Linked DNA regions of Mytilus edulis. The protein of the gene in region 1 binds, or shares a complex with, the protein of each later gene. Links are inferred from orthologs where the notes say so. Each region holds a gene or a part of one and is shown in the gene's direction. Other genes may lie near its edges.

The links.
Region 2: the proteins of TBC1 domain family member 23-like (region 1) and protein FAM91A1-like are in contact, whole or in part, in a crystal structure (PDB 8JJ9), measured with the Homo sapiens proteins. The link is inferred for Mytilus edulis from reciprocal best matches to the Homo sapiens genes TBC1D23 and FAM91A1. Residues at the interface, in NP_001186127.1 of Homo sapiens: Arg533, His534, Val535, Ser536, Ser537, Asp539, Val541, Gly542, Lys543, Pro544, Tyr545, Arg546, Val548, Pro550, Val551, Phe552; in NP_659400.3 of Homo sapiens: Arg49, Glu60, Arg61, Tyr64, Asp84, Ile85, Lys88, Gly89, Leu90, Arg91, Ile92, Thr93, Phe95, Ser96, Ile159, Pro161, Tyr176, Ile177, Thr178, Glu179, Asp181, Ile182, Lys190, Asp194, Ile197, Asp198, Tyr216, Asn217, Lys218, Gly219.

Annotation. Positions count from the first base shown.
Region 1 is NC_092348.1:58,052,081-58,062,801, reverse strand, and holds the start of TBC1 domain family member 23-like, read left to right. Parts: upstream 1-5,734; 5' UTR 5,735-5,819; coding exon 5,820-5,848; intron 5,849-6,793; coding exon 6,794-6,902; intron 6,903-7,600; coding exon 7,601-7,706; intron 7,707-8,286; coding exon 8,287-8,494; intron 8,495-9,654; coding exon 9,655-9,778; intron 9,779-10,666; coding exon 10,667-10,721. UniProt on the Homo sapiens protein: Putative Rab GTPase-activating protein which plays a role in vesicular trafficking. Involved in endosome-to-Golgi trafficking.
Region 2 is NC_092344.1:95,392,810-95,403,436, reverse strand, and holds the start of protein FAM91A1-like, read left to right. Parts: upstream 1-5,867; 5' UTR 5,868-5,979; coding exon 5,980-6,051; intron 6,052-7,596; coding exon 7,597-7,681; intron 7,682-8,423; coding exon 8,424-8,633; intron 8,634-10,627. UniProt on the Homo sapiens protein: As component of the WDR11 complex acts together with TBC1D23 to facilitate the golgin-mediated capture of vesicles generated using AP-1.

The DNA of each region.
Region 1 (10,721 bases):
ATTTCAAAAGTTTCCAAATCGGAGAAACCAAAAAATAGAAAATCTCTTGTCTGGATAATGATCAATGAAGATTTAGTTTTCAATACAGATTTTAATCTATGATACCTAAATAAAAATATCCAGACCAGACAAGAAAAAATAGACAAAAGTTGGGATAAATAACTAGAGTTATTCCTCTTTGTACTGGCTTTCTCCTATCATGTACATATTCTTTTTAATATCATGGTATCCAACAAATTGTCGGCATTCCTATGGGAACAAGCTGTGCGCCTCTTCTTGCCTACCTCTTCTTATTTTCTTATGAATCAGAGTTCCTCCAGACACTTGTCAAAAACAAGAGGATCAAAGAAGCCAGATTATTTAATTTCACTTTCAGATATATTGATGATGTTCTTTCCATAAACAATCCGAACTTTTCTGATTGGGTTCCATTAATATACCCCACAGAACTAGAGATTAAAGAAACAACAGGCACGGCTTCCTCCGCCTCATTTTTAGACTTATATCTCGACTTTGACTTACACAGTCATCTCAGTACCAGAATCTATGACAAACGAGACGATTTTAATTTTGAAATTATAAATTTCCACCACCTTAGTAGCAATATACATGTAACAACTTCACCTGCATATGGGATATATATTTCCCAACTTATTCGATATCCAAGAGCGTGCAGCTCCTACTCAGACTTTGTAAAACGTCATCAGTGTCTGAGTAGAAAGTTGATGAACCACGAACCAGGGGTATGTCAAAGAACGTCTCGTCCTTTTTCTAAAAAAAAGTTCATCGGAAGGTACCAGGACCTTGTTGATAAATATTCCGTATCAACTTCACAAATAATACACGATTGTCTTGATGTATATAGATTCTGCGTACTGATGTTGTTTATCATCTTAACAACGTGTTTTATAGTTCTTTCGTTTGCCTTTGTTCTTTTAACAATATTTCTTTTACTGTTGAATGGTTTTATGTGATATCCGTTTGACCTGGCTCGGTACTTATACATCTCGACAATGTGTTTGTATATTTCTTTGGTTCTTATAACGTGACTCTGTACTTTAACTGAAGATCCCGTCAGTATGATATTATTGTTCTAATTTATGTCATTATGATATATTTCTAAATATGAATAACAAAATACGTTGAACCACAAACGTCAAAATCATTCAATGCGTAGTGGAATTAACTATTTGTGGATTCTTATAAATTCTATATATAAATGTTGGACTATTTTAAATCTCGGGTCTATTTCTGAAATTTATACTTACATACTTTTGATTTTTTAACCCTGTATGCTAACATTGCCTATGTAAATTTTAAAATTGTTTGTATGCACATTGAACGACAAATTTATGTGACGTATAAAATTTTCTGACGTCAGACACACAAATCAATGAATGTATTTGTAGATAGATGTTTTTGTGTTCTATTAAATTGTTCCTTTTAAAATTGTTATACGATGATGACTGATGTACCCATATTTAGAATATTGTATTTATTGTGTCTGTTTAGTTAACGCATCAATGTAAATATAACGGAATTTGATCAAGACTGTCGGCAAAGTGAGAGGGTTCAGCGCTATAAAACCAGGTTTAATCCACCATTTTCTACATTTGAAAATGCCTGTACAAAGTCAGGAATATGACAGTTCTTGTCCATTCGTTTTTGATGCGTTTTGTTATTTTGCCATGTGATTATGGACTTTCCAAATTGATTTTCCTCTAAGTTCAGTATTTTTGTGATTTTACTTTTTTCCATTAGTGTTTAAAATCATATTTAATTATTAACGATTGCATGTGCTGTTTGTTTGGATATTGTATGCACTTTGTGATTTGTGTTGATTTATATGCTCTTTGATTAGGAATCAAGATATTTGAATTTGAACCAATTCAATTCGGTATTTAATTTACGTCTCCCAGACCGTACTGAGTATTTGGACCGTACGCGTACGGTCTGGACCGTATGCGTACTTTTTCAAAATACTCACACGGTCGGACCGTACGCATACGGTCTGGCTAATATTAAGAAGTTGGTCAATATAAAAAAGAAGATGTGGTATGATTGCCAATGAGACAACTGTCCACAAGAGACCAAAATGAAACAGACATTAACAACTATAGGTCACCGTACGGCCTTCAACAATGAGCAAGTCTATTAGATACAAATGCATATAACAGATCAACATAACTTAACTCTCAAATCATAGTAATATAAAATAGTTCAATTGTAATTGAAAAAACCCTTTATATTTTAACTTTTTTTAAAATTTAGGCTAATTTTAAATCTGTTGATCTCTTGTATTTTAATAGCATGTCAATCTATACATTTATTGAATTATGATCACTAAAATTGAAGATATCAGAAGTAAACATAATGTGGGAGGACAATTGTTTTAGACAATTTAGCAACCGTTTACAAAAAAAATGCAAATGCAAAGGAACATGCATGAACTGCAAGCTTGTAAATGTAAAAAATATTACGTATCTTATGTCACCTTAGGCGAGAGTACCAAAATAGGATTTAGATATACAATTAAACAAATATTTAATTTCAAGTGTTCGTTTGTTCATTTTATCCATCTTATTGCAATAAAAACAATTTGTAAAATTAAAAATAAAGATTGTGATAAATATGTTTTTTTTTAACCCATATGTATGGAACGCCGGAACTGCCTTATGTTAAAAACTTTCATTATATGATGGTACTTTGACATTATACGATGGCACGTTGACATTATACGATGGCACTTTGACATTATACGATGGTACTAAGACATTATACGATGGTACTTTGACATTTCATGATGATACTTTGACATTATACGATGGTACTTTGACATTATATGATGGTACTTTGACATTATACGATGGTACTTTGACATTATATGATGGTACTTTGACATTATACGATGGTACTTTGACATTATATGATGGTACTTTGACATTATATGATTGTACTTTGTCATTTTGTCTATACCAATATCGAATACATTGAGCAAAATTATACGATGGTACTTTGACATTTCATGATGGTACTTTGACATTATACGATGGTACTTTGACATTTCATGATGGTACTTTGACATTATACGATGGTACTTTGACATTATACGATGGTACTTTGACATTATATGATGGTACTTTGACATTATACGATGGTACTTTGACATTATACGATGGTACTTTGACATTATATGATGGTACTTTGACATTATACGATGGTACTTTGACATTATACGATGGTACTTTGACATTATATGATGGTACTTTGACATTATACGATGGTACTTTTGACATTATATGATGGTACTTTGACATTATATGATTATACTTTGTCATTTTGTCTATACCAATATCGAATACATTGAGCAAAATAGATAATGGAAACGGTGAATGTGTCAAAGAGACAACAACCCGACCAAAGAACAGTAAATAGCACAAGACCATGCACTAATGGGTCTTAAACACAGCTGGTGTGTTTTTTTAAATACCACGACTGCACCATATACACATGCATACTCTGACTGTACCTTAGAAATACATTGAGATATATTGTCTCAGCTATACCTGGTATTGTTTTAGTTGAAACATGCAGCTTTTAAAGTAAAATTGAATTCAATACTTGAAAGAAAAGAGTTATAGACAATTCCACCTGAATTAGTTTAAAGTATACTTGAGGTCCAAATACGAAAGTTGCATGATGACATTTGAAAATTAAACTACCGTCTATATCATAAAAGTTATATTTGATACTGGACGTATGAAGTTACTTCTAGCAGTCTACCGGGCGATTGCATTCTGTGTTATTTATTTACAGGTCATCCGATCGTATTGTCATCCGAGTTAGCAGTACGTAAGTGCTTTGGTCTAGGATATGTTGCCAGTGGTTATACCATGTCTACGTGGTCTAGGATATGTTGCCAGTGGTTATACCATGTCTACGTGGTCTAGGATATGTTGCCAGTGGTTATACCATGTCTACGTGGTCTAGGATATGTTGCCAGTGGTTATACCATGTCTACGTGGTCTAGGATATGTTGCCAGTGGTTATACCATGTCTACGTGGTCTAGGATATGTTGCCAGTGGTTACCATGACTACGTCAAACAATCAGTACTCCCAGACACAAAACAAAACATTTTTGGAGTAATACATAGGTGGGGGTGCTATTTATTTGGACGATCAATGCATTTGGGGATAAATAGTTGGAAAACCCAGCCCCCAACCTTTTTATCGGTGTTGGGAACCCTCTTTTAAAAATGACTGGGTACGCCCCTGCTATTGCATTTACTGAGATTAACGTTTAATTAATTGGGATTGTTGAGTGTAAGTTCCAGCTACTGCCCTTAAAAATGTTCTAAAGTTATTGTTCGAAGTCAAAAAACTTCGTTAGTATATTTTGTCTTTATTTATACAATATACAGAAACTATGTAGAAAAAAATAACTAAGTCTTTAAATAAAACAATCAAACTTTTGGCAAGTTTTCCACAGGCCACTTAGCTTAAAACCTATTGAGAACACGTTCTTGCAAAAACAGGAATGGACCCAGGAAAAGTTAAAGGAGGAGTAGAGGGGATAAACTAGGATAAAAGTGACACGCCTAAAAATGGGCGTCTTTTGTCTAAAGCTGCAAGTATATGAGTCACTGGCCTCCTTCCTTTCCGTTTTCAAAAAGTATTGGAGGGGCCATAAAATATAGTGTGTCCTGAACCCCACTTTTGATAGTACCCGGCGGACACACCGCCCACTGCCCTAAATCCGCCTCTGTTACTTGCCGAAAATGAAGAAGAAAAAAAACAACGATCGCATAAGGGAATCACCAGTTAACATCAAGTGGGTATCTTTTTTTCTAAAAATAATCATCTGATCACGAATTTGAAGCAGATGACAAATTAATTTATTCTTAATCTAGATTTGCCCTTTACCTTATAGAAATTGAACAAAAATAATTTGATTGATAGCTTTGAAAAACTACCAAAAAAATGTTCGTTTTACGCGAGAAAAAATATCTCTTCAGACAAAAAAACATAACGTGGCCTTTTTTTCAAGTTAACTCCCTAAAACAACAGATTGAGGGGTTAATGCATGGACATAAAGTCACAGGACGAAAAGTCACAGGACAATAAGTCACAAACAATTTGTTGACAATTGTTTGAATCTGAGACTACTATAAATATACAAGTGAATTATCTTGAAATATTTACTTTTTAATTCATATAAAAGTTTAGGATATGTGTTCATGAAAAATACAAAAATGTTTTGTAAAAATAAGCGTTTTCTTACTAAAGAAATTATTCCGAAACTAAAAAATAATTGTGACTTTTTGTCCTGTGACAAGTCACTTTCTGTCCTACATTCTATTGCACTAAGTCAAGTAATTAATTTGAAAATAAATATATATATAATGTAATTTTATTCACAATATATACCCGGTATTTGGTTTTTAGCTTGATTCTGACCAATGCTTATATTCCAAATTTATATGATATGCCGCTATTATTGTTGTTATTACCAATAGGGTAAATCAATTGTATCTGATTTTATGCCCTTTAAATGGGCCCTTTAATTTGGGAAATAAAAATATTCTATTCTATTCTATTGAGGACATGACATCCCGGTCTCAGTGGCCCCCAACTAGCATTCTCCCTCCACACGTATCTGTCTTTTACAATATGTTTTATTCATTTCTACCGTATGCATACCATCAGAGACATATAGGTCTATGATAATGTATTCTATTTCTCTGATGATTAATTGAAAAAAACTTCCGGAGATGTGTCCGTTAATGTTTAAAAATTAGTGAGTCCTTACACGTCAACTATGGCGGAAGTGTCAGAAGACACAAGTTGGTAAATAACAAACTATAATATATTAGATAATTAGTAAATTGGTTCATAAACAATTATATGCCATATCACGAATCATAAAAAAAACATTCATGTTTCCCATTGATAGCACTAACTTGTAAAACCCTACAGGGTCAAGTCATATGCAGTCAGAACTGACTGCTAAAAATACATTGAACAGTAAAAGTGCTACTGTCTAGATAAACATGACGTCCTCTAGCCTATAAAGACTTGTTGTTTTTTTCGACTTTTTAATAATTGTCTCGCAAGATGGGATGGACGCATAAAATAAAAAGAGTATCAATGTGACATAATTGTGTGGAATATCAAATTTCTGCAGTTAGGTAGCAGGTCAATCTATATTTATTTTGAAGAAAAAAGTGTAACTAGTATTAATTCTCGTATTTATATGCAAACTGATGCATATAGTTAGAAAATCTAGTAATTTTAAAAGATCTGACACATACAAAATGTGCTAGGTAGCTGCAGTCCAAACAATAATTAAGGGAACATTTATAAGGTTTCATATATGGGGTCAAAAAACCCTGTTTTGATGCGTTAAACTTTCATTTAATGCGTACATTCTTATTTTAACGTGATAAGTGATTAAGGACGATAATATTAAAAATGTGCTGAAAATCTGTAAACTTTATCGCGTTAATTGACAAAGTAATGACACATGTAGCCAAATAAAGGCTAAGCATACGCACTAGAAAACAATGTGATCCTGAATTGGTTAAAAGCTTGAAATTTATACCACTTTTATTTTACTTGTTTAACTTTGAAAGTAGTGTGAAAAATCAATTATCGATCCCAATTAAACATGAAAAAAGGCTTCAAAGTATTTTAATATCTTGCATTTTAAAATGCAATTTATCTGTGCTTTAAAGACCTTTTTTCTTGTTACATGTATGATCATAACTAACAAAGTGTTTGACTGCTTTTTAGGATAATAGATTTAGAGACAGCTTTGGTAGATGAGTGTGACTACGGAACATTGAGAAATATTTGTAAAAATAGACCAGTGCCAGCACACCTCCGTGCAGAAGTTTGGCAGGTAAATTTTAACGCAAGATTGTCTCTTTGTCATCTTTTAGGGTTGATCAATATAAACATACATCAGACTCAGGGGAGGCAACTTTAACATAAGAGGGTGTAAAATATTATGCTTAAATGTTTGTAAGGATTTTCTTATCCCAGGCATAGATTACCTTAGCCATATTTGGCACAACTTTTTGGAATTTTGAATCCTCTATGCTCTTCAACTTTGTACTTGTTTGGGTTTATAAATATTTTTGATTTGAGCGTCACTGATGACGTCTGGCATACTAAATTATAATCCTGGTACCTTTGATAACTATTGTAAATTGCTTATATCATATGGGTACATATAGATACCCAATTTTGAAAGTGCCTCAAAAAAGACACAATGTTTGTTTTAACACAACAGCTTTAAAAAAGAGACTTCCTGAATTTAATAATGCATTATGCATGATTTTTTTTTACATTTCTTTGTCAGTAAAAAGAAAATATTTTAGCTGTGATATTTGCGGTATACACAAAAATATTTGTTTTTGAGTTACATGTAATTGGAGTATTAACTGATATATCAAATGGACGGAATAGTTTTTTTCTTGGAAAACAAACAATGATTTAAATAGGATATATTTTCTGGTGCGGTAATTTTAATACTTTTGGCAAAGAATGAATGTAAGTTTTGTATCAAGTTAGTAAACTTTTTCATTTATTTTATAGATATGTTTAGGTGTACATGGTAAAGGAGATTCTCTAGCAACATTTGATGGATTGTTTGATTTGAAAGAACAGGAACAGATACGACAGGATTGTAAATCACTTATAGGTATGGATATATATTATGGAAAGATGTTAAGGGGACAAAACTCTTCACTGCAACAGGGAAAAAATTGGTCAAAATAAACTGAAACATTATAAGAAAATAGTGATGGACAGGTACAAATGTCTTATATATTTTTACATGATGACCATAATCAGAGCTTCTGGAAGTTTGTCATCAGGCTTCATTTGAACAAGGGGGCCCTCAGTGTCCAAGTGGTCTAAGTAGTTCTACTACTGTAATCACTAGCCAGTCAACACTGAGGTTGTGAGTTCGAACCCTGCTCACATAGGTACACTCGACTCCAATCTTATTGACCAATAGTGTCAGTTTTCTTATAAAAGGTCATGATTTTCTCCAGGCACTTCGTCTTCCTCCACCAATAAAAACTGACATCCACAAAATAGCCCAAAAATGGCTTTTGAAAGTGGAGTTAAAACAACAACAATCAATCAATCATTTGAACAAGCACACTGTGATGTATTTTCACATTTAAAGCTTGTCAACTTCCTACTAAAATTGGAGAAAGTTACAAGGGAGTTTTATTATAAAAGTATCAGTGAAGGTATGCTTTGTTTATTTTCAGATAAATTTGGAAATGAAGATGAAGAAGATAAACTTACTCTAGTGAGTGACCTTGAAACCATTATAACCTTTTACAGCAAGTCCCGTAATGAAACTTACAAATCAGAATGTGATTGGCTAGGAGTAATTCAGCCTTTACTAGCATTGAAATTAAGCAGAGCAGAAATTTACAATTGTTTTTATGCCATTTTGAACAAATTTATTTCAAGGTGAGTAGATTTGTAAATATATCTAATCTATCTTATGAAATGCAAATACATGTAGTATAATCAGATTTTATTGTTTAATTTTTTTTAGTCATTTATGGTCTAACCAGTCTCAAACTTTCAAACCAAAACAAACGAGATGATAAATAAGGTTTTTTTATCTCACAAATTCAGGTATAACCCGATAAGTTTATAATTATAGTTTCTCTAATTCTTACATGATTTATCCCTTTCCTGACATGTTGATTATTTTTATTTAATCAACTTGTGGATTGTTTGATCTCAGTTCTTCATTGGTCAAAATTTGATTATGACGTCGAATTTTCTTGCTTTCCTCTGAATTTCCTCTGACAGCATGAAAAAAGGCGACCATGCCTGATGACGTCACATAGAAAGAACACATCTTTTTGCAGATCATTTGAAAAGAAGTATTGAATTTGTCTGCATATGGTTTAAAAATCATAAGAGAAACAGATTCAACCACCAAATCTTGTGTAATACAATATTTATCCATTCTCGACAGTTAAATTTAAAATATTTAAAAAGCTTGGCAAGCCTTGCGTTTTAAATGTCTCGAGTGGATAAATATCGTATCACACTCGATGTAGTGGTAGAATCTTTATTTACAGGTCCAGTGAGTTCAAAACATGTATCATTTCTTATTCTGGAAATTTGGTGAGTGGGAGTTGGGATATGGACTTCAGAGTTGAATGAATTTCAAGGATTGATGAATGTAAGGAAATAGAAATTTTAACCCATCAAACATTTTGTTGATTGATAAGCCCTTACCTTATGGATTGATTTTATGAAAAAAGAAGATGTGGTTTGATTGCTAATAAGACAACTCTCCATGATAGAGCAAACAACATAGAAATAAACCACTATAGGTCGTAGTTTGGCATTCAACATTGAACAAAACACACATGTGTTTTATTAGTCCGAGATTACTTTGACGTCCAACGGGTTCCACGGCCCCAGCTTCGGCTTGTCTGGCAAAACAGCTGTTGGACGTCAGAGTAATCTCGGACTAGCGTTTTATGTGATTTATGAATTTTTATGTGACCATCTTCTAAAATGTATTTAAAAAAAAGAAGTAAATGCTTGATTTAAAGTGGTTATTATACAGTTTAAATTTTCTAATGTATCATTTATTTTTATTTCAGAGATTGCGAAAAGAATGGAAAACCATTCCATTTATTTAGGTTACTGCTACAGTACCATGACCCAGAACTGTCTTCATTTCTGGACACAAAAAGAATTACTCCTGATACTTATGCTCTACCCTGGGTAAGAAATTGTGAATGTGTCCAAACAATCAATTAACAAATAATATTATTCCACTGTTTGGTAAATTTGACGTTACACTCTGTTTAAGAAACATTTCAATACTTAGTGATACTATTATTATTGTCGATATTGGTTTGAACTTATTTCCTATGTAAAATCAAAACAGAAAAAAGTGCATCAAATAAATATTTAATTTTGATGTATCGTTTACACCACTCATAGTGTGTGCTATTCACTTGTTGATTGGAACAATATTTGAAAAAAAAATGCAATGAGAGAATTTACTTTGACCTTTAAAGAAAAAAAATACTGCTGAATATGCAATCTCTATTCTATGTTTGCTGTCTTTGCTAAAGTATCACCTAAGAATTAAGGTGGTACCTAACACAACAGGGAGATAACTCTGTAAAGTCATCTAAACGTTTTAATTACATTGTGTTGTAAAAGGAATATTAAGCTTCTCAATGATCAAAATTGGTGTTTGTCAAACTGCTATATAACCAGTGTAATTTTTCTGATAAAATGGTTGGTTAAAATTTTTTGAAATTTTTGTCAAAGGGTTAAAGTAAATACTTTGTCAAAATTTTATGAAAATTAAACGAGCCAAATTAATTTTAGTCAAGGTGTTGGGTACCACCTTAAGAGATATAAATTGGTTTTATGATAGTAAATTTTGTTCTGATAAATAAAAAAGTAACTTTTTAAGAATAAGAGCTGGGATATATCTATTTTTTTTTCTCACTTTGCACACATCGTTATTATTTAAATAGATGGTAAATTCATTGAAGACAAGTTTAAAACAGGAAAAAAAGGATCCAGTCCAGATATTTTTGCTTACATTTAAAATAAACCCAGAAAAAAAATTAAATGTACATGTTTGATTTTCAGTTAAGAAGTTTATTTGCTTCCACCTGTACTTTACCTGTGATACAGAACATGTGGG
Region 2 (10,627 bases), on another chromosome or scaffold:
ATTATTCCATATACTATTAACACATGGTATTCCAAAGAAAATCTTTAACATAGTTTTTTTCAATGTATACCAAAACAAAGAATAGAATAAAATTTAATGATGGTTTAAGTACATCTTTCATATCTGAAAGAGGTGTCAAACAAGGCAATGTTCTAAGCCCTTTGCTATTTAATATTTTTATTAATAATATTGTTGAAAATTTTAAAAACAATAGCACAGACCCTGTGCTAATTGGTGATAATAAGATTCATTGTTTGTTATATGCCGATGACTTGGTACTATTGTCAAGTAGTCCAGAAGGACTACAATGTAGTCTTGACACTCTAGCTCAGTTCTGTACAGATTGGAAGCTGGAAGTAAATTCTACAAAATCAAAAGTCCTAATATTCAATTCTAACGGCAAATTATTTCAAAACTTTTTTACTATCAACAAATATTATATTGAGACAGTTGATAAATATTGTTACCTTGGGATAACTTTAAAATGCAATGGTAAATTTAATCTTGCCTCCAATTTATTGATGGAAAAGGCTAGAAAAGCTCTATTCAAAATAAAGAAATCTCTTAGTCATAACAATTCATGTAGACTTTTAGAAAAACTTTTTGATACAATGGTACTTCCAATTTTATTATATGGAAGTGAAGTTTGGGGTATTGAATCAATTCAAAAAAATACTGAGAATGAACCATATGAAAAGTTTCATATAAAATTTCTGAAAGAAATTCTTGGGGTTCACTGTAAAACTTCCAACCATGCATGTCGCAGTGAGCTTGGTAGACTCCCCTTAAAAGCTAAAATTTTGACATATTTATTCAAACAAGAGAAAACAACCTATGGACAAGTAATATGAAGAAATGTATCCATAATCTGGGTTTCTCGTATTTAACATCTTTTAATGTACCTATTACACCTATACTCTTGCTCAAATAAAACAACGAATTCATAACCAAATTTTACAAGAACAGAATTCATAACCAAATTTTATAAGAACAGAATTCATATATTACAGAATCATCAAAATTATCAAATTTTCAACATTTTTGTTTTTCAAATAAACGTGCACACTATGTTGACCAATTGAATATGTTGAAAGATAGGGCACCTTTGGCAAAACTAAGGCTAAGTGCACACAATCTTGAAATTTAAAGAGGTAGATACATGCAAGTTTACAGAGAAGAAAGGTTGTGCAAATTATGTCATAAAAAAATATAGAAAATGAAAAACATTTTATCTAGCACTGCACAAAATATGAATCACAAATAAATGATCTTATATCAAAATTGTACAATTTTAAAAATTATGACAAACAATCCAAAACTGAGGATGAATATATCAAACTACTACTTAATAGCAAGTGTAGAATCAAAGCGCTGTAAGCGCTGAAGGCAGTTAACCAAAAACCAAGGCAACCGTAATTATGAAAACTGTGGCAATGTTGCCTCAACATTAAACATTCATATATAGTACATTCATGTTTATCTAATGATTTATTTATTAAGGCAAATAATTTATGTTATCAAGGTTTCAAAAGCAATGCATATACGGTATCAATGTATATTTTTTATGGTGAATCTGCAGTGGTACAAGTTCCCAATGATTGCAGTTGTTCTACTTGGTAGTTAACCTTGGTTTTATTTGACTGCTAGAAGTTGAATTTGACTTAGTATGAACATGTAATAGTATGAATGGACTGGTTTCCCTGGAAAGAAAACAAATGTTCACTACAACAGGGATCAAAGGTGAGGTCTGACTGACCTGCCCATAGTAAATGTAAATGATTTGTTATTTTGTCCCATACATATGAATATATATAATTTAGGGGTGGGGATCTCAACAGTTTACAAGTTCTCAAACAGGTAGGGGTAGGGGGCCCGGCCCCCCTTTTTTGGAAAAAATTTGGTTGCTTATATAGGGAATCACTGAAGCGTGACTGGAGCGGGCCCCTCTTAGGTCAGTTAGTGGGCCCCACTTATAAAAATGTCTGGATCCGCCACTGGGGGTATGGTGACCCTAGGGACTTCCCCTACATTTCATTTTATTTGTTATATTGTCCCATACATGAATATATATGGTTTAGGGGTGGGGATCTCATTGGTTTCCAAGTTCTCAAACAGAAGGGGTAGGGTGACCCAAGGGACTCCCCCTATATTTCATTTAATTAGTTATATTGATCCATACATGAATATATATTGTTTTGGTGTGGGGATCTCGACCGTTTCCAAGTTCTCAAACAGGAGGGTTGGGATGACCACAGGGACTTCCCCTATATTTCATTTGATTTGTTATATTGTCCCATACATGAGTATATATGGTTTAGGGGTAAGGATCTTGACCATTTCCAAGTTCTCAAACAGGAGGGTGAACAGTGACCTCAGTGACTCCCCCTATCTTTCATCTGATTTGTTATATTATCCCATACATGAATATATATGGTTTAGGGATGGGGATCTCGACCATTTTTAAATTCTAAAACAGGATGGGTGGGGTGACCCCTAGCAACTCTTCCTATATTTCATTTGATTTTTCATATTGTCACAAACATGAATATATATATGGTTAAGGGGTGTGGATCTCGACCGTTTCCAAGTCCTCAAACAGGAGGGGGTGGGGTAACTCCAGGGACTCCCCCTATATTTCATTTTTTCTTTATTATATTGTCCTATACTTGAATATATGCAGGGGCGGACTCAAATTTCCAAAGCATGGGTTGTTCTCAGCTTAATAAAGAATATTCCGAGAATTTTACCTCAATTTTTTTTTAGCCTCGCTCTGCTCAGCGAAAATTTAAGTTTGCACCCCTCCTAACCTAAAATCCTGGATCTGCCCCCTCATATGGTTTAGGGGTGGGGAGCTCGACCGTTTCCAAGTTATCAAACAGGAGGGGGTAGAGTGGCCCAAAGAATGCCACCTATATATCATATGATTTACTTACATTAAGGTATATATAATATAGTTGCATTATTAGTGAAAAAAAAAAGAATGAAACTTTCAGCTACTTTAGTTGACCCTTCAAAATTGAGAAAAAACAAATAACTCCTCGAAATTGCAGTAATCTTTACACTTTAAAAGCATCTCACATGCATTATCATCATTTATCATTTATAAAGAAAATTTAGACTGTGACCATGAACATGTATATTGTTAGATATACTGTTCCCAGCTGTCACGTTGTATTGGATTTTTAAATTAAAATTTGTCAAAAAGTAATTTTGAGTTTCTGAATAAAATATTTTTCTGCTTTTTCTTTCTTTTACATATTTCTTTTGGTTTACAATACTAGTGTTTATATTCATTTACCATGCATAGATGTATTTTTCACCTGCTTGGATTTATTTTGTAAATGATCGCCTAACCCGGAATTACCCTTATCCGCTTCCGGAATCGGATCCGATTTTGTAAAATTTTGTCTTCACGGCCGCCATTGTGATGTGTTTGCAATGTTGTTTTTGTCAATCAGATACGATTTTACTCGAATTTATACAATATTTGTCGGCGATTTTCTGTATAAAGCTAGCGGTTGAACAAAATGAACATCGCCGTCATGAATGATCATGAATAATAATGATAAAAATAAGTTTTTAGCTCGTTTAATTGGAGACTTTGGTGAAAATGGTGAAAAGGTTTGCAAAGTAATTTCTTATTTTCTTTCAAGGTGACTACGTCGGGCGTAGCTAGAAACCAACTATCCTAGTCGAAATTCCGCTTGCAAAAGTGGAAGGTCGCGGACCTCGGACCACCGCTAATTTGCACACCTGCCTCCAAATTGAAAAGCTACGAAAATTTCTTTTTCTAATTTGAAATTGCCGCCAACAGCATGAACAGTTGAAATTATTATATAATAGACTACTGACGTAGTTGTACTACGTATTTGATGACAAACAGTATTCCTACGACTTTTGTCATTTGGGAAATCTAAACTACTTGTCTTAAGAGATATTCGGCGATTAAATATTTCATACAATTGTTCTTTGACATCTTAGCTAAAAGCACAAGTCATAATGAACTACACAAGGATTCTTAATAAGCACTACTTCCTATGTGTAACTTTAAAACTTTTGGATAAATCGACGATCATTTAAGGTTTTTCTGGTCATTATTTTTGTAATCCAGAATAAAAAGTATTAAAAAAGTGTTCAATTAGTTATATATAACATAGTAGCAAGCTAGATAATAACAATGGCAAGTATTTCAGGATTTATTGGGTAGAACACAAATCTAGGGTGCTCGCATAATGCAGCTTAACTGCATAAAAACACTTAGATTAATATCATCTTTTATTAATCAATCATTTGAATTAAGGAAAAATGTCCTTATAAATGAGTAATATGAACAATTTGAAGCTATAACATACAATATACTTATGTCAGTAGTCTATTCTTATAAATTATAAAATTGAGAATGGAAATGGGGAATGTGCCAAAGAGACAACAACCCGACCATAGAAAAAAACAACAGCAGAAGGTCACCAACAGGTCTTCAATGTAGCGAGAAATAACCTATATATATTGATATATTTATAACTGCACATTTCATTGTCTGAAATATGCCTATCGATATTCTATGTAGTATTGTTTAAATGCTGCATCATTACTATTTGTATACTAGTTGTATGGGCCATTGCCAATTATTGTAATTGAGTTTGTGCCAATAAAATATTTGTATTTGTATATAAGAGAAATATCTTGAAATATTTACTTTCTAAAACGGTGCAGTCCGGTGTAACCACACACCTAAGACTTATGACTTCACCATGTAACGTCCATGTTCACTCCATTCAACTGATAAAAACAAATAATTGGATAATATTGTGTGAACACATTCATAACATACTTTAATTTCATAAAATCTTCTGTTTGTATGGTTTCACCTTCCAGATTTTGTGGAATGTGTGTCCAAAATTAGGGAAACCCCTGTTCTGAGAGTTCCTCGAATGTCCGGCGATTTCTCGCATGCCTTCCAAAAATAGCTTATTTTGAACAAAGGAAAGATTTTGGAGGGCTAAAACAATAACAAGAACAATTTTATTTGTGTTACTTTGTTGATATGATGAAATCAGCTAATGCACGGTATCACCGGCCGTGCAGACACCAGGGACTCCACTGGATATATATTCATATTAATGACAATGATTAGGAAATGTGTCATTATACTTAAAAAAATGAAGATTTATTTAATTTTAATCATGTAAAAGAAAGATTTCTTGGCACCATGAAGCCATTTAAGTGCCAAGCCACTCTGTCTCTGACATTTTTTTTTTTTAACAATTATTAGATTTACTTGGATATTTTTTTTATTACAAAGTTAGATTTTTTACAATAGTTAAAGACAAATACAAAAATATTTTTGTAGAAATAAGCATTTTTTATTCAAAGAAAATATTCAGAAAAAAATGAATTGTGACTTTTTGTCCTGTGACTTTTCATCTCGAAACTGACCTATCCAAAATCGCACTTTTAATAGAGTGCTACATATAGAAATAGAGTGGACTCATCTGTGGCCAAAACAGTCCAAACGACTGTGACCGAACGGATTAAGAGGCCAAATCGCCGCTTCCGATGTCAGCTCTAGCCGAAACGACCGAGTCTGTGGCAAGTGTGGACGAAGAAGTTTTTGAGGCCGAAGCGTCTCAAAAGCTTTAAAAAAAATATATACAGATACTATTTAAATATGAATTAAGATATATGACTGTTTTCACAATTTAAAAGAGCTGACATTTGTGTAATATCAACCTTTCTAATCCATGTTCTCAATATTCTGTCAAAACGTCAGCCATTTGTAAACAAATCGCTAATGAAAGACCATTCTGCAAAATCAATTTTGATTAGCTCTAAGGATTTAGATTGACCAATTAAAAAGACGGTAACAATAAAGTATCTCTTCCGTCAATTTAACAACATGGCAGAAAAATGGGGGTGTCTTTCAACAGTCATTTAATTATTTAATTTTGTACATGATGACTTGATTTTTAAACGATCAAGATGAATGCTGACATTGAAAATAATATTCGCCAAAATCATCCATGGACCAAATTGCCACCAAATCTTAAGCAGGTGTGATAAAATACCATATGATATTTTTGTAAATTTATCTTCTAAATATATGGAGTCCCAAAAACCCTCCTGTCACAAACAGGGATTTTATCAGTATGTACTGAGTTACCAAATATGGTCCCACACTTGACCTTCCAACTGGTGCTTTTTTCGTGGAACCATTTTGTTCATAAAGCAAATAATATCTTAACCTGTTCAGTCAGAATGTTCCATGACAATACACCTTATCGCTTTTTGTCCGCCACTACCGGACATCACACAGGTTCCCATGAAATTAGACGGCATAATACAAAATATCTGACGCCACAATGGAAAAGGGATTGTTGTTTGACATCAATAGTTCAAGTGGGATAGATTCTCTGGTCAGCCAGGAATAGCAATTAGGTGTATACTCCTTATTGCGATTTGAAAATCTGTGCCGTTTTAACTATTGACATCATACAACAATTACTCTTCCATTTGCAGTTGTCTGCCTGCCCCACTGAAACTTGTTATTTTGATGTGATATATCAATATTGTCGCTTGTTAAAGTCGTTTTTTTTTTAGTTTGTTCAATACCATTGTTGAAGTTGGCATGGGTGCTTATCTGTTGTAAATATGAGGCTGGTATTAACAGTGAAAGGGGACCAAGTCTGAATGAATTCTTTTTTTGTAACTCCAAAATCTGTTAAAAAGGAAACGGAAATACTGTAACGTTTCTGATTTTGGTTCTGTTGTTAGGGATTTTACTTATGACGTCATGTTCAATGTAAATAAAGAAACGCGATCATCAGGTAACGTTTATTCATATCAAAGACAAAGAATTATAAAAATGAAATTGGTATTGTATTCCTTGAGTTCCTATATTTTACTAGACTACTCAAAGTCTCATGACAATGAGACCGGAAAAGGAAGTCGATTTCTGCGTTCTGCGCAAATGCAGGAATTAAAAAAAGCTACAAAAAAAGTTAAAGATTTTGAATTCATTAGTACAATGAAAATTTCGGGCCGAATTTTTTTATTGATTTTTCTACTGAAAATTATGACTGAACAGGTTGGTATATCTTAGCGTAAATTGCAACAGTATTAACCGCTACATATGTTAATCTACATTAAACTATCTACAATATGCATGGTGTATAAAATGCATATTTGTTTGAATCATTTGTAGCAGTCCTTCTAAGTACATTAATTGTAGGTCAAGAATGATATTGATGGAATTAAGAAAATTTTAGTTAACAAAAAGAAACTTGATTCTCATTATACATACCTCAAATAACACATAGTAGATTTTTTATCACAGTATCTTTTACAAATTTTCTATCTGAATGACAGGTTCTATAAAAAAAATCTAACAGTAACAGGTTTTTGTGAAGTACTTTTTATAATTTATCATTCACTGCAAGATTAGGGATGCTCAAGGTTACAAAAATTTCAGCAAAAATTAAAAAAAAATTGTGTTCAATACAAATCTTATTTATTCCACTATAAGTTGTTACTTTATGATTTGGTACAAAAATCAACCAAAAATAACAATTTTTTTTAAATACTGTTAAATATTTTCAGGTGTTGGGAAATTCTCAGAGAGAGTATGACAAAGCCATTGTTTCCTTTAGTATAAAGAATCAGTTAAGATGGAAAGCAAATATTGGTATGTATTCAAAATAAAACCAACAACCCTATGTTATAACTAATCACTATCAGGATAATCACCATTGCAAAACACTATCAAATGAGATCTTAAACAGTTATAATTAAAATACATAAAGAATGTATGAAATCACAAAAGTTAATTGACTAGGATTATAAAGGTTTATGGTTCTCTCCTGGCCAGACTTCCACCTCAAATTAAGATGAATCAGTCATCAATAGTGCTGAAAATAGCATGAGACACCAATTAATCAATCTTGTTTATGTTATACTTTCAGCATAGAAATATGTTAAACTTGCAGCATAGAAATATGTTAGAATTCTCCATACTTACACTGTTAAGAAATGTTTTTAAATATTCATTTGTTTATTCTGAAATAGATTTATATGAATAAAGAAATAGTAAATAAACCAGAATATTAAAACTGTAATGTCATCTTAATTTTGAAATTTATTTGATACGTTTTATGAAGAAACATTTTATGAAGAAAATGTTCATATGCATCTTAAATTCATCTGTTTATACTTTTACCTACCTGTGTGCAGTCCTGTACACACAGAAATTACAAATCTATAGAGATAGTTAAAAACTTGGGGTACAATTAAAAATAATCAATCATTTTACACTATATTGCAAGCAAAAAAATACTGAGTATTAAGCACTTGCTATAAACATATAAAAGCATTGTCAGTTGTTAAAGTATTTATTATTTAAAACTGTTATATAACAATTATTTTTGTAGTAAAGACAATACGTAAAGATGAGAAGAGATATTACATGGATATGTTACAGTATAGCCAGGATCATCTGATGTTATACCCGTATCATCTGTCTGACATAGTCGTCAAAGGACTTAGAGTTACACCATTTGTATACTATATTAATATGATGTCTGATATCATGTCACAAGAGAAAAGTTATGACTCCTTACCAAACTTTACTGCAGCTGATTGTAAGTTTCATCAGTTTGTCTTTTATAAAAATTTGATCATTTATTCAATTTACTCCAATTTTCAGCTTTTATATTCGGAATATGCAAAAAGATTAAAGCCTAAGAAGTTATCTTAAAATTCATAAAAACTAAAAATCAATATTGATATGTATGAAATTTGACAAGGAATTAAAGCTCCTCTTTTGAGTCAATACAATGTGAGACTGTTCAAAAATCCCTTCAGGCATTTATTTTGTACATTGAATGTAAGGGAATGTGTGGGCTTTACTGTTTAAATAAAGTCTCTTTAAAATTTAACAACTTTGAGACTAACAGAGAAAAGCTCTGTTTCTATTTTGACAATTTCCATTTTTGTCATTCCAGAGTTATTGGACTTTTTACATTTAAAAATTGGACATTTTCCAACATAATTTTGTTGTGATCCTTTTTCCTGAACATTTATTGTTGCACTAGTATTTTCAGGATTTTCTTTTTTGTCTTTCAAGAGATATGGGACTTTTAGGCCAATTAAAATTAATTGATAGATTTTCATCCCCGCCCGCACCTCTGAAATCTTCCCGCCCCGATTTTTTTTACTTTTGAAAAAAATACGATTTCCGGATTTTGTTCATTTCCGTTACCGGTAACCGTCGATAATTTCGTTTCATGTAAAACTTCCTGTTTCAAATTTTGGTTTTCTTATTTCTTAGAGTATTCTTACTGAATGATTAAGTTGATATATTCTGCTGATCTATGATGAAAACATCATTTACCGAGAATAGAGATTGATTACGAGAAGGGCGTGAAATATTCGGGTTACGAGTAATACGCTGTGTCCAAGAACGCAAATCGCCGTAGCGTATGTCCCAAATGACACAAATGTATGTGAGTAAAACACCTTGGATTTATTTTATTTATGCAATGACTTTGTGTCAAGAAATTTGGACTGTGAATGAAACCCAAAAGTGTTAAAATCGTGGAACACATTAGACTGGAATAAAGAAATTGACACAAGCATGAACTTTTTAGATTGGTGACCGTATATTGAATTAAAAAAAATCAACAAACATACGCATTTTTAATTTATTAATTCATAGCAAGCTCTTAGATTCAGATTTAGCTTTTATTTCGTTTTTTGTAAAAATAGAGAAAATATCCTCTGTCCCAATACCCACGATAGAGTCATTAAACAACGTTATGTTCTACATTGTAATTAAGTTTGCATCTTGCACATTAAGGACCAACCCTATTAATTAAACACTGTTTGAGTTCATTTTATTCTGTACTTATCGTACTTGTGTTGCATACCAATGCATTTGCTTCATTTTATTAGGACAACAAAACATTGCTTAGATTAAGAAAGCAAAATGCATTTGATGTAGGTAGTCCAACTGAAGAGCTAGAGCATTTCTCCACATTTCTGCTGCATGCTTTACTATAAAATAGGTTTCTAAAGTGGCAATTACATGTAGAACAGTGGTTTCCAATCAGAGATATATATTTATAATTTTGAGAAAGCGGAACCAGCATATGGAGTATATGTGTCTCAATTGATACGTTACTCTAGAGCTAGCTCAAAGTACGTTGATTTTGTTGAACGAGGAATACTGCTTTCTCAAATTTAAAGTTGCTAAGACAGGGCTATGAATCAATCAAATTAAGGTCATCACTCAAGCAATTTAATGGTCGCCATCATGAGCTGATTGGCCATTATGACAAAAGTGTGTCAGAAATCATGTCTCAGTGATTCAGTCATAACAACCTTTCATCATTACCGAACTGAACAAAGAAATAACCCGACGGGTGCCGTATGCTGTGCAGGAAATGCTTACCATTCCGGAGCACCTGATTTCACCCCTCGTTTTTAGTGGAGTTCGTATTGTTTCCTACTTATTATTTGTAACTGTTGATGTAAATGTCTTTTGGTTTTATGGGTCTTTGGTTACTCCTTGGTTTTGATTGTTATTGTCTGATACACGATACCTTATGGATGTATTTACATGATATAAGCTTAT